2 linked regions of the Arabidopsis thaliana genome follow. The protein of the gene in region 1 interacts with the protein of each later gene in a pairwise test. Each region holds a gene or a part of one and is shown on either strand. Other genes may lie near its edges.

Region 1 (8,121 bases):
AGAAAAATACACCTATTAAAAAAAAAATTAAAAATATAAAAATTATATTAAAAATAATGTATTAATTTTTGTGATTTATATTTTTCTATAATTTTAAACCAATGATATTCAATTATTTATCTTGAAGTTTAAAATTCATTAATAACTAGGTTTTAACCCGCAATTTACCGCGGGCAATCGGTTTATTTGGTTCTTATACTAAATATTTGAATAAATTTGATATCCTAAACTTATAAATATAAATTTTTAGTGATTAGTGAAGAATCGTAATATATGATTTGTATATTATTTTTGTTGAACGGTTTAGATTAAAAGGGAATTAATTTTATTGAACGGTTTAGATTCAATCGGATCATATAAAGTTTAGGAGATTGTTAAGACCAAATTATCCTTAATGATTTTAAATAGCAAAGAACAAAATCTAAAATTAAAATCAAAATTGAGGCCAAATTAGACAAAATTTCAATTTGTACTTCCCTTTTAATAATAAAGGGATAACTAATAAATAGTGTATAGAGAACCTAAAAAAATAATTTTTTAAAACAATTTTTTTTCTAAAAAATCAATTAATTTCAAAAATATACATGCTCTTTGTAAAGAGTTTTGCACAAGCTTACTACAAACAAAACATTCAGATTCATGAATAAAACATCCAATTGGTAAATTGACGAAAAAAATTAAAATAACCAATTGGTAAATGTGCATTAGTTTACAAAAGATAGAATTGAACGATAAAATATAACAAATTTACGCTTTTAATTTTAAAGCAGGGTGTCGTTGATGGTAAAAATCTACTTTCTCTACATGGATTATTTAACCAAGAAAAAAATAGGTTATAAGCAAAACAATTTTAGAACAGAAAAAGAAACAGGGGAAATTAAGAAGATGAGAGAAGAGCTGTCTGTTTTTGGTGAGACAACGATATAATCTCTCCCTCTCGTTTCATGTCGATGGGCCTCCTTACTTCCATCACTTGCATGTATGTCCCTACATTATATATACGAAATTTAACTATTATTGTTATTCCCCTTATAAATTATTACGACAAAGACATTATATTACCATTATTAATATCGTTATTTCAACAATTGTAGATGTTGTCACTCACAATAGTGTAATGATATGTTCACATACGCACACCAATAGAATAAATCTCTAACAAAAAAAATATCTAAAACTAGCTAAAAATCCAAGAAAATATCAACCATCATACACCGAAATATCAAAATACTTGAATGAAGTTCTATTAAATCATTTGAATAGTTATATTTGTAAGAGACAATACAATATCCAATCTAAAAAAAATAGTAACAACAAAATTTAAAAACTAAAACTGTAATTCTTATGTATTCTAATATATACACGATTCCATACAAAAATCGAAATTGTACCTTAGATGCAGTTTCAATTGATGCTACAACTTTTAACCGCAAATTAGCATCAATAATGAAGACGCGTGAATGTTGAGACAGAATTGTTTATTTTGGACCGTCAAATTTAAAATATGATGGGGACAATCCTTTGAGGATATGGTAGGAACATGTTACATACAGAACTATACAAATGCATAAATATATGCACATGTGACACCTATGTGACATGTATATGTATACATGTATCGAGATATTTAGAAAGGAGATCACAGGACAAACACTCGTGACATTGCCAGCTAGTGAAGATGACAAATGAAAAGAAATTAAAGAATAAAAAGGCAAATAAAAGAAAATGAAAACAAAAAGACAAATAAAAACTTAGCAAAGGCTGCTTGTACTCTCCAACTCATTGACTGCCCCATGCAATGATAAGACGATAAATGTGTCAGCCAAAAACAAATATAAAAAAACATTTTTTTCCTATCAAAAACAATTATTCACACCCAAATTTTTTATAGTTAAACCCGTTAGTATAATGTTGTTTTTAGCCTTTGACCCTATAAGAAATAATACATACAAGAACAAAGACTAAGCATTGACTCTAAAACTATAAGCCAGAAATATATTGAATTTCTTAAAGTATCTAATATGTCACAAGGCAAGAAGAAAAAAATCTACGGATAATAATATGAAAATTTCTTCATTGTGAAACCATAAACTATAACTCTGAAATTTGTTTTTTTCAGGAGGGAATCCATTTTATATAAACAATGAAAGGCAAAATCTTTTACAAAAGAAAAAAAAAAAAGAACTGAGTTTAGATAAATTGCAACTAAAATTTTAATTACTTCAAATGGGGTTTTGATGACGACATGCATACCTGAAAGATATAGCATGTACTTTGATGAACTAAAAACCTTTTTTAAAATTTCTCCTTAGAAACTTCTTTTATCTTCTTAGAAACTCGCATGATGGATTCCATAAGGTGGTGAAGTACTTGCCGGACCACCTCCGGTATTCACATTCATGCTGCTTCTATCAGCGGAATCCGACGACGAGCCAACTCTTTCTCTACTATTTCCATGTTGTTGTTGTTGTTGTTGCTGCTGTTGCTGTTGTTGCTGTTGTTGAAACCCTCCGCTTCCACTCATGCTTTTTACGATCTGTCCAACTCCAAGAAAGTCTCTAGTCATGCTCTGTTTGTCAGCGCTTAATCCTTTGTTCACTCCTCCGTACGAACCAAAAGGAGAATCAACTCCGTTAACGTTTCCCGTTGCGCCGGGGTTAGAGAAAGAATTCATCAAATCCTGAAGATTACTCTCATTTTCTCCGTAGATTCCACTCCCAAAGCTTCTTAGGATCGATGAGGCATTGTTATTGTTGTTGGTGTTGCTTCCGTTGTTGTTGTTGCTTGAGGTTGAACCCATTTGAGCAGCTTTCTGTAGAAGGGCAGTGGCTGACATGTGAGGTGCTGAATTTGGACTTTGCATTGATGAGCTAAAGAGTGAAGGGACTGATCCTGAGCTAATTCTATCTGCCGAGCTCATCAGATTGTTAGGGAAGAGACCAGTGCTTCCTTCTCCTCCTCCTCCAACAGCATTTTCGCCATCATAATGGTTTGATATCATAAGATTACCAGAAGAAACAGCAGCAGCGGCGGCAGCATTAGGGTTACTTGTGGCAGAAGTAACTCCGTTGTTTCCGGAGAGGAAGCTGAGATTGAAGACATTGGAGGGAGCAGAATTATGGTTATCATGTGAGAACTGCATCAGATTCTGTTGAAAACTCATTGGTGATTGCTTGATGTTATTGTTCCCAGCCAAAAACCCTTGTTGATGATGATGATGATGATCTTGTTGATCATGAAAGCTAGGGTTTTGCTCTTGCATGAAGTAGCCTGAAGCATTCGCAGCAATGAGATCAGAAGAAGAGCGTGAAGCGGCTCCTCCTCCTCCTCCTCCGCTTCCAAGACGGAGAACGTCACCGGGCTGGTGATCAAGATTCTGTGGGGCCCCCATGTGGGACAGACCAAGGATCATGCTTGAAGCGTTGTTGTTGGAGTTGTTTGTGTTTTGTCCGTACGGGAAGTGATGACTTGGCAAAGAAGTCAATGAAGTTGGGTGTCTCGCACTCTCTTGAGCCAACGCGTCACAGAAAGCTCTATGTGTGATGAAACTGTCTCGCCTGTGACACAAAATAAAATAAATAAAAATCAATTTCACAATGGAATCTATTGGATCGTCAGATATATCTCTATACTATTCATATAAAATGATGAAATAAAAGACATATTTTGGGAAAAGTGAAAGAAAAAAAATATAAATGTAAGTAGAGAGAGAGACTCATCATGTCACGTAGCTACAAATAGATTCGCGTGTAATTATGGGATCTTGAAAAGTAGATAGATGGCTAGAAAGTCACTCTACTACTCTATTATACATCATATTATTATTCACCTGTGTAAACTCTTAACAAGCTTACACACTCACATGTTTGATGCATACAATAAAATTGCACGCATACACATAAATAGGAGTACAATGTTGTGTCACATTTCAACTATGATGATGTATTTGTCTATATGACTATGTGTACGAACAAATCTAACTCTTATCAATATCAGTTTATGCAATAATAATAAACATAAACATTATTAATCAACTCCGGAAAACTATTATGCTTAATTCACTATAATTTATGTATGAAACTATGAATATAGCTATCTATATAATAAATTAATGTGGTATTCAACGAATTCCAAAGGTAGGTGGAAAAAGTTAAGTTTCACACTAATGTATAGAGAATGATTGTCAAATGAATATCTGAGTTTGTCCTAATTCAAGATCTTGTATGTTCAATAAATGCAAGTTGAGCATGTATTCAATGAACTACTTATATTTTTATTTAAGAAAACTAGCTACTTATATATATTTGCAGCACCACATATTTATTTACTTCATTCTATTTATAGAACTCCTCTAAATGCACGCACACACACAAACACAGCAATGCCAGCCAAGACTGAGAAAAAAACTCTATATTCGAAATAATTATTTAGTCTATTAGTTATCACGTCTATGCAAATTTATGCCATTTTATGCAAAATGTGTAGAGTAGTGAACCAAACTAATATGTGGCTATGGTACAGAGTACAAACGAATCATATGAAATAATTGTATTTTCGTAAAATTTTACACATAAGAGAACAAACACTGTAACAACAACCTCCCTAGATATTATATAGTTTAGCAGCACGTGAATTGCCCATATAGTATAAGTATAATTTCATATCCAAGAAAAAAAAATCCTGAGAAAAATATATTAATTTATTTTTATGACAGAAAATAGGGCGGTGTTTCCAAGGCAAAAGAATATTTAAAAAAAAAACTGAAATTGAAATTGGTCCTCTTTGGTTTTGAGTTTCTGCTAGAAAGCATCTATTGAAATATGGCAGTTTCAGTGTCATCTATAGATATAGTTATATAGACACACACACACATTCACGTGTGTTCTTGTATCATTTTTTTTTATAAAAAAAAAAAGAAAAAAAAAACTAAAGTTGCATTTACTGCACGAAAGAAAGCGATAAGAGCATCGAAGACTTCGAGGCGAAACAGAAAGTGAACCTAAAAAAAACCCTAATTCATGAAGAATGACTCACAGACACATATTCACACACATATCACTATAGCAGCTCAATAGATTAAATTATAATTTAAAGAGTTTGAAAGATTTGGATTACTAACCGAGAGAAGAGTGTACCACAGTCACAACGATACTCTTTGGTACCACAAGTCTTGGAGTGAGCTTTCCAATCCGATTGAACAGCGTAACGCTTAGAGCATTTATCGCATTTCCACTTCTTTTCACCGTGTTTACGGTAATAATGTTTCTTGATTCCGGTGAGGTCTCCGAGAGCACGTGACGGGTCATGGTGGACGCACGAGGGCTCCGGACAAAGATACACTTTTCTCTTCACTTCTTTGGTCGATTTCTGTTTGAGCTTCCATGGAAGATTGTGTCCTCTTCGGTGAAGTTGTAGATTCTGTTCTCTTTGAAACCCTTTGTTGCATACTTCACATATGAATCTGTTTGTAGCCATTAGTGTCTTTGGAGATAAAGCTATCACTTCCGCATCGGAATCTAATCAAGAGGAAAATTATTAACTAAATTTTAAAAGTCTTATATTGCATGGAAGATAAATTGATTGAAATCTGAATTTTGAAAAACCAACTACAAGCTAGGGTTTGCTAATTTGCTTATTTCAAGATTTTAAAAAATGTAAAAGGGAGAAGAAAAAAAAGGACATGGAAAAGGGATTTATCTTTTTCACCAATCAATAAGTTCTTTTAAGAAATGATCACATGATTATAAAAGATTTGAATTAAGAGGTAATTAACTTACTTGGAGTTCTTGGTTGGTTTCTCTTCTTTTTCTGCGGTGGAGCTTCAAGCGGTGGCAGCGGTGCCTGGTGGTGAGGAGGTGGAGGAGGAGGAGCAGCGGCGGAGGAATTAGGTGGGAGGAGGTGAGATTGGTCATCTTGTCGGACTCCAAAGAAGGAAGCAGCGGAGGATGAAGAAGCAGCCATGGATTCTTCTGTGTTCTATGTGATGGTGAGAGAGAGAAAGAAGAAAAAGAAAAAAAAAAAGAGAAATGAAATGAAATTAGAGAGAAGAAACTCTTTAACATTAAATTCTTTTTTGACTTCCACTGATATCTTATCTCAATAAAGCCCTAAAATTGGGATATTCCAGATTTTTAATTAATTGGTTATACTTTTTTTAATAGATATAAAATTATTAAAAAAACATAGAAATTCTTGTGAGGTAATAGAAGAGAGAAGTTGAAAGTGACAGGTGAAAAAGAGTGTAGGCTAGTAAAAAGAAAGAAGAAATATAAGTCACCACCCAATGTTATAGCCTAGAGTGTTAAAAGTTCATATTCGGTTAAAAAAATAGGGTAAGATAATCAAACTGAATTTAAATCTAGCTTGGTTAGTTTGGTATAGCTCTAATTTCATATGTATGATACATATGATACTAAAAACTCTATACATTTATTTGTAAAATTTTATATAATTTTTCTTTTGTTTGTAACGCATTTAAATAAGAATATTTATATAATTTTGGTGTCGCCTGTAGACACTAACACATATACAGAGCTATTAATTATTTTTGATATCATTTTTTCTAAATATGTAATTAATTTTAGAAAAAAAAGAAACTATGAGAGCTACAGAGGTCGGTGGACCCAATCCATTTGCCACAAAACGACAGTGGATGGTGCGTGAGACAACCCTCAACAGCTCCTCTCTCTCGCTAACATATGTGAATAATAAATTTCAAGTTTTTTTTTTTTTGGATCTAAAAGGGTTTAGAAAACAATTACCATAGTGTAATATGACTTTAGAAATTGTAGAAGAAGATATTTGACACTAACATAAAATATCTATACGAGATTGCTCTTACAAGAAAAGTTTAGCATCACGATCTAAGCTATATAAAAACATAATTTTTTTGGTTTTATATATCTTAAAGAAATGAAATGGTTTTTTCCTTAAAAAGAAATGAAAATGTTGGAATTTGTGTGTATGTAACATTTAACTAATTTTAAATGTTTGACCATATAATATCTCATAAGAAAAATACGTAACCGAAGAAGGAATAAAAATATAATATTTTGAGTTTGAAATAAATTAGCGGTTGTAAAACTAAGCGACTATGTTTTCATATAATTTTACAATTTTAATAACACATAAATATAAATTTAAAACTATAAACTATAAACTAAATAAATCTCATAAAATTGTATTCTAAAGCTAATGTTTTCATATATATAGGGACAGATTTCTTGAATTTTCAAAAGTTAATCCACAAAGCATCTTATGTTTTTCTTAAATTGTCAAAATAATTATTTGTCTCAATCGTCATCATCATCTCATATGGGTCTCTCTTTTTTGGTTTTAAAAAGTTCCTATCATATCATACATACACACATATATATATGTCTGTCTGTGTGTCATGGAAGATTGAATGTGAAAAGAAATATTCCAAAGATAAAAGAAGACAAAAAGAAGAATGATTGTATATATTTTTCATGTATATGGTAAAGTAAAAACCAAAAAGGATACTCCAATTTTTTAACTATATTTCGTCGTCTCTTCCCATATTCAAGCAATTAGTTAGGAACTATTTAAATAAATCTATGAATAATTTCCCAAATGATAGATCCCGTCATCTTTTTTTTTATCCATTTAAAATATCAAAAACAACTATATAGTATATATCTATGTATATACTTTAGTGACTATTGAAAATCAGTCATGTTCTCCAATGAAGGAGATCAAGAAAATCAACCCATTTTTGTATGGGTCTTCGTTAACGTGAGCATGAGTTATATATAAAACTTGTTTAGCATAAGACAATAGAAAACAAATACGATGTGATTGTTTTTATATGATGGATAATTAGTTTTGTTATGCTAAATTTTTTGAGGAAAGGAATATAATTTGCCATTCCCGATAACAATGACACTTGAACCATATCCTTTCCTCTCACATACATATTCGAATAGAAAATTTCTTTCAAATCAACAGTAAGTAATATATAAATATAGATATATAAACAGAGCCATATTTAAAATAAAAGATAGGAAAAAGAACTTCACCTCTTTTAGCTTGTCGTTTGAGGTCAATTTTTGAAGTAAATTTCTATGAGCTTCTTGCTTCTAAGTATGAAGTAGAGGGCCA
Region 2 (5,164 bases), on another chromosome or scaffold:
AGAATGAAGGCGGGTTAGGATTTAGGGACATTGAATGCTTTAATAAAGCCATGTTAGCAAAACAAGTGTGGCGAATACTTCAAGCACCATCATCCCTGCTCACTCGCCTCTTACGTGGAAGGTACTTTGAAACAACAAATATTCTGAATGCAAGAACCGGAGGAAGCCCTCTTTCATTTGGAGATCCATTCTAGAAGGACGAGACCTCCTGCAGCAAGGACTTCGAATCCTTATAGAAGATGGCAAACAGACAAACATATGGACTGATTCATGGCTTCCAACACACCCACCAAGACCACCTCAAAAACGTGATGCGACGGTCACCAATCATACACAAGTCAAGCACCTAATGCAAGATGGCAGAAACATGTGGAATAAAGAAGTAATAGAAGAACTCTTTGAAGCAGATGAAGCACGATTGATACAAGGTTAAGATTAAGATCACAACCGTCCCCTGATGTACTAGGCTGGAACTACACAAAGCATGGGGAATACACATTCAAATCAAGTTATTGGCTCTGTACACATCTACCGAATCAACAACATGATTATGTTCCCCCACCAGGTTTACCCGAGTTTAAGAGAGTAGTATGGAAGCTAGACACGACACCAAAACTAAAGCACTTCATGTGGCGGATAGTAACTCAATCATTGGCGACAGGCGAGGCCTTGACACGACGACATATCATTTCAGATTCACAGTGTAAACGATGTTGTGCAGCTCCTGAAACATTAGAACGCCTATTCTTTGGATGCCATTATGTTCAAGCTATTTGGAGGGGCTCTCCGGTGTCACATACAGCGTTTTTCAATCCACACTTACCTTTTGAAGATAAATTCAGATTAATCCTTCAATGCTGTACTGATACGAGACAAGACCATATCACAAGACAAATACCTTTATGGATGTTGTGGCACATATGGAAGAGCAGGAATTTGTTAGTTTACCAGCGAAAAGGGAGTAATTGGCAAGATGATGTACAAAAAGCGATAACAGACTCATATGAGTGGATTCCTCTGCAGCGAGACACACAACGACGAAGTCTAAATGACAGAAGCGGGCAAGGGTAGCAAAAACCTATTCACGGCTTTATCAAATGCAATTATGACTGCAGTTTCTCAAGGAATGATCTAGCACCAAAGGCTGGTTGGATTTTACGAATTGACACAGGCAGTTATCTACTTGCGGCTCAAGGTACAAGACAACTATGCAACTCAGTGCTAGAAGCGGAACTACAGGCTCTCTTGATGGCAATGCAACATACATGGAGTAGAGGATATCGAAAGATTATATTTGAAGGTGATAATAGGACTGTGGAAAGCTTACTCAATGGGAACACAAGGAATTTTGAACTTCATAACCTCGTCATGGAGATACAACATTGGCGGAAGAAGTTTTCTACTGCCATTATCAAATGGTCTTTCCGGTCAACTAACAAAGCAGCTGATCGATTAGCTAAAGTGGAGTTAGAAAACATTGTTACTTTTGTCTCTCATTCTTATGTACCTCTGTTTCTTGTACAAATCCTCCATAGGATTACACATCATCCCTCTAATAAAGTATATCTGTTAATGTTAAAAAAAAATAAAAAAAAAAGAATCGGTTATTTTCGGGTTTTAAACTTAAAAACCAAAGAAACCAATATCCGAATCGAACCGAACCGTAATAAATTTCGGTTAGTTTCGGAAGAATTTTCAAAAATCCAAAATAACCGAAACCCGAAATAACCGACTCGGTTCGGTTCGGTTTACCCGAAGTCGCAGGCCTAATATTTTATATCAACAATTGACATATATTTTGACCCAAAAAAAAAAAATCAACAATTGACATATATTTGTTTTTATTAAAGTTTAATTTACATATTATGGAAGTCTCAAAATATTTGTTAAACAATGGCAAATATTTGTTAGACATATTTCATCTATTTAGCATGCACAACACGAATCCATATCTAATATTAGAAAGAATTATCCTTTGATTCTTTTTTTCTGAAGGAAATTTTGATTAATGGTAAGATTTGTTTATAAGCCCAAAAGCACAAATATTCTCCTACTTATAGCATGATATATTTTGAAGTGAATGTAAATTAAGAATTATTTTCGTAACAACAAATTTTATATTTATACAAAATAAATTAAATTCAGTTTCTTTCTCTCTTCTCTTTCTCGGTTTCCCCATTTTCTATCTAGACAAAGAGTGTTGTCTGAATTGGCTCTGTCTCAAAAAATGAAATTCTCAAATTAACCACAACGATCTTTAGAGCCTTCTTCGCTCACCGATCTCTGAAACCCTGGTTTGCTCTCGTCCTCTTCGTGTAACGATTCTTCTTCTTGATAAATTTTTAATCTTTGTTTCGGCTTTTCGATGAAATTGTTTTTTTTTTGGATCTCGTCTCTATCAGCTCATGTTCTTCTTTGATTATATGATAATTGTTGTTTCCTTTGCTCTGTTTTATGATTATTGTTGATTTTTGAGATTGAAATGTTCGAGGGTTTCTACTGTTCACTGTTCTTTACACGTATCAATGTTTTCTTGATCATGTTCTCTTATGATGTTAATAGAGAGACTAGTGTTATTGTGATGAATGATTCTTGTTAACTAAATTTGTCATTTTTGTTTTCACTTGACATTCATTTCTCTAACCATTTATTATAGGTAGTTTCTATGAGTATGTCGCAGTCTCGAGCTGTCCAAAGATCGTCTTCACCTAATGAGGATAGAGGTGAGAATCAGTTAGTGGTTTATGACTTGAAAGGAAATGATGATACTGAAGAAGAAGTTCTACCGGTTCAATCTCAGCCTTTGTCATCTAGAACACAGTGTCCCTCTATCGGGGCATTTACGGTTCAGTGTGCAAGTTGTTTCAAATGGAGACTCATGCCTTCAATGCAGAAGTATGAAGAGATTAGGGAACAGCTTCTTGAAAACCCGTTTTTCTGCGATACAGCGCGTGAGTGGAAGCCGGATATTTCTTGTGATGTTCCTGCTGATATCTATCAAGATGGAACTCGTCTTTGGGCTATTGATAAACCGAATATCTCTCGTCCACCCGCTGGCTGGCAACGTTTACTGCGGATTAGAGGTGAAGGAGGTACCAGATTTGCTGATGTGTATGTCGTTCGTTAACTCTTCTCTCATTTATGTTAATATTAGTCTTTCTTCTTTATACCATTGTATTGGCTTTCTTTATCATTCTTTTATCTTGGTTGTTTCAGTTATTATGTTGCTCCGTCTGGAAAGAAGCTTCGATCAACTGTGGAGGTCCAAAAGTTAGTTTCTCTACCACTCCATTTCCACATTTTCGTTTTCACATTTAACAAAGTGTTCCTTACTTTTATGTTTGATGAGGTCTCACTGTATCAGTCTTACCATTTTCGTCAACCAATATATTGAATCAGTAGGAACCTCAAGTATTGTTCTGTGGTCATAACTAGAGTTAGGCACTTATGCAAATTACAGAAATCCTTGCATGTGTTTTGTTTACTAACGAAAATGTACTATGCCAAGAAGTTAGTTAAACTATCATCCTTATTTCCATGATACTTCCCTGCAGCATTTGAGAGTGACAACAATGGTAGGAGAAAAAAGCTTAGTGACTTACCAATTCGTTTAGTGATTACCAAATTGTTTTCAGTGACGTATAGCTAGCTTCTTTACACCCTTATAACCACTATTACTGGTTTGCAGGTACTTGAATGACAACTCCGAATACATTGGAGAAGGGGTGAAACTTTCACAGTTCTCGTTTCAAATCCCGAAACCGCTGCAGGATGACTACGTGAGGAAGCGCCCAGCTCGACTACTGGATTCCATCGATAATACAAACACCCCTGTAGCTAAAGAAGGTGTGTTGCTTATCAAGGCACATAAATATAATTGTGGTTATCTTTTGTATCAAGGCTTTAGATTATTGATGTCATTTTTTCAGTCAAGAGTGTATTTGACGTATACTCGAACCGAACATTGGTGTCTTTAGGGAACTTTATTAACATGAAAACGTCTATGCTTTTACAAGTTTCTAACATTTCGCTTGTCTTGTTATTTTTCAGCTAATCCACTGGCATGGATATCTCCAGATGATCATATATCGTTGCAGCTAGGTACGCCAACCGAGTCTGGACTTAACAATTCACATTACCAACCATCGAAAAAGAAAAAAACATCGACGCTATCAATCTTTGGCTCCAACGACGAACTTGCTGATAGATAATCTAGCTAGACGAGAGTGAACTTATCTCGTCTTCTCTGGTATATAACCCGTCTTCTTTCTTCGTTTTTTGGGTTTGTCTTATCGAAGAAACTGAAAGCATGTGGTTAGCTTGTTTTTTGTGTATACCATCTATTTTGTTTTGCAGTGTAACATACTTTCTATGAAGAAGATGGGTCCTTTTGGTTTTTGCTTCCAAATAACTGGATTTTCATGCTGAAAGTTTTTAAACCTAAAGTTTGATTATTACCAAATTCCATTATCTCACAAATCCACTAGAGGACTGACACAAGAAAGCAGATAAGAATAGATCAGAGTCTGTTTAACTGTAGATGTGCATGTTAAGTTGGAACGTAGTTTATCTCAAAGGATATTTTAACGACATCCAAAAGATAACATTCGAAAGTCAAAACCATCCTAGGGGAGATATGGCTGAAGCTATTAGTTTGGTAAACATACAACAACAAAACTATGCCATATCTCTAATCTGCGCAAAAGGCAGAAACAAAAACTAACAACAAATCTGCCTTCTACTATCCTGCTTCGTGCATTCCCTATTCAGTTTTCCCGTGGTTAAGCCGTATCATCGGAACCAAGTGATGGGAGTGGGAGTAGTACTGACTTGAGGAAGCTGCGGAATCATACAGTTTTGCGCTTGCTGCCACGGATGCAAGCCAAAACCATAGGTGTGCTCTTGCTCTTGCTGCTGTCCTTGCTGAGGGAAAGATAGACTGGTGCTTCCAGTATCCTCTTCTATCTCATTGGATGCATCATCCATTACCACATCCTCACCTGTCTCATCCAACTCAGTAATCTCTAGTGTCCGCGGTTGTTGGAAGGTTCCTATGGACTGTGAGTAAGTAGACTGAGACGGATTCCAGCAAACAACAGCTTGACACTTGTTTAATCTCTCATCTTCATACTGATTATCATCAGCTATCGATACATCGCGAAGA

What was found.
Region 2: the proteins of IDD5 (region 1) and MBD02 interact in a two-hybrid assay, tested with the Arabidopsis thaliana proteins (one large-scale study listed by BioGRID).

The regions. Positions count from the first base shown.
Region 1 is NC_003071.7:503,363-511,483, reverse strand, and holds IDD5 (indeterminate(ID)-domain 5), read right to left. Parts: upstream 6,110-8,121; 5' UTR 5,962-6,109; coding exon 5,778-5,961; intron 5,517-5,777; coding exon 5,120-5,516; intron 3,558-5,119; coding exon 2,330-3,557; 3' UTR 2,254-2,329; exon of another isoform or gene 2,019-2,253; intron 1,787-2,018; 3' UTR 1,392-1,786; intron 988-1,391; 3' UTR 703-987; downstream 1-702. UniProt on the Arabidopsis thaliana protein: Transcription factor acting as a positive regulator of the starch synthase SS4. Controls chloroplast development and starch granule formation. Binds DNA via its zinc fingers.
Region 2 is NC_003076.8:13,522,772-13,527,935, reverse strand, and holds MBD02 (methyl-CPG-binding domain protein 02), read left to right. Parts: upstream 1-2,137; 5' UTR 2,138-2,315; exon of another isoform or gene 2,316-2,660; 5' UTR 2,661-2,665; coding exon 2,666-3,111; intron 3,112-3,216; coding exon 3,217-3,270; intron 3,271-3,688; coding exon 3,689-3,846; intron 3,847-4,050; coding exon 4,051-4,211; 3' UTR 4,212-4,533; downstream 4,534-5,164. Other genes in the region: AT5G35320 (DBH-like monooxygenase), read right to left, coding at 4,792-5,164. UniProt on the Arabidopsis thaliana protein: Probable transcriptional regulator.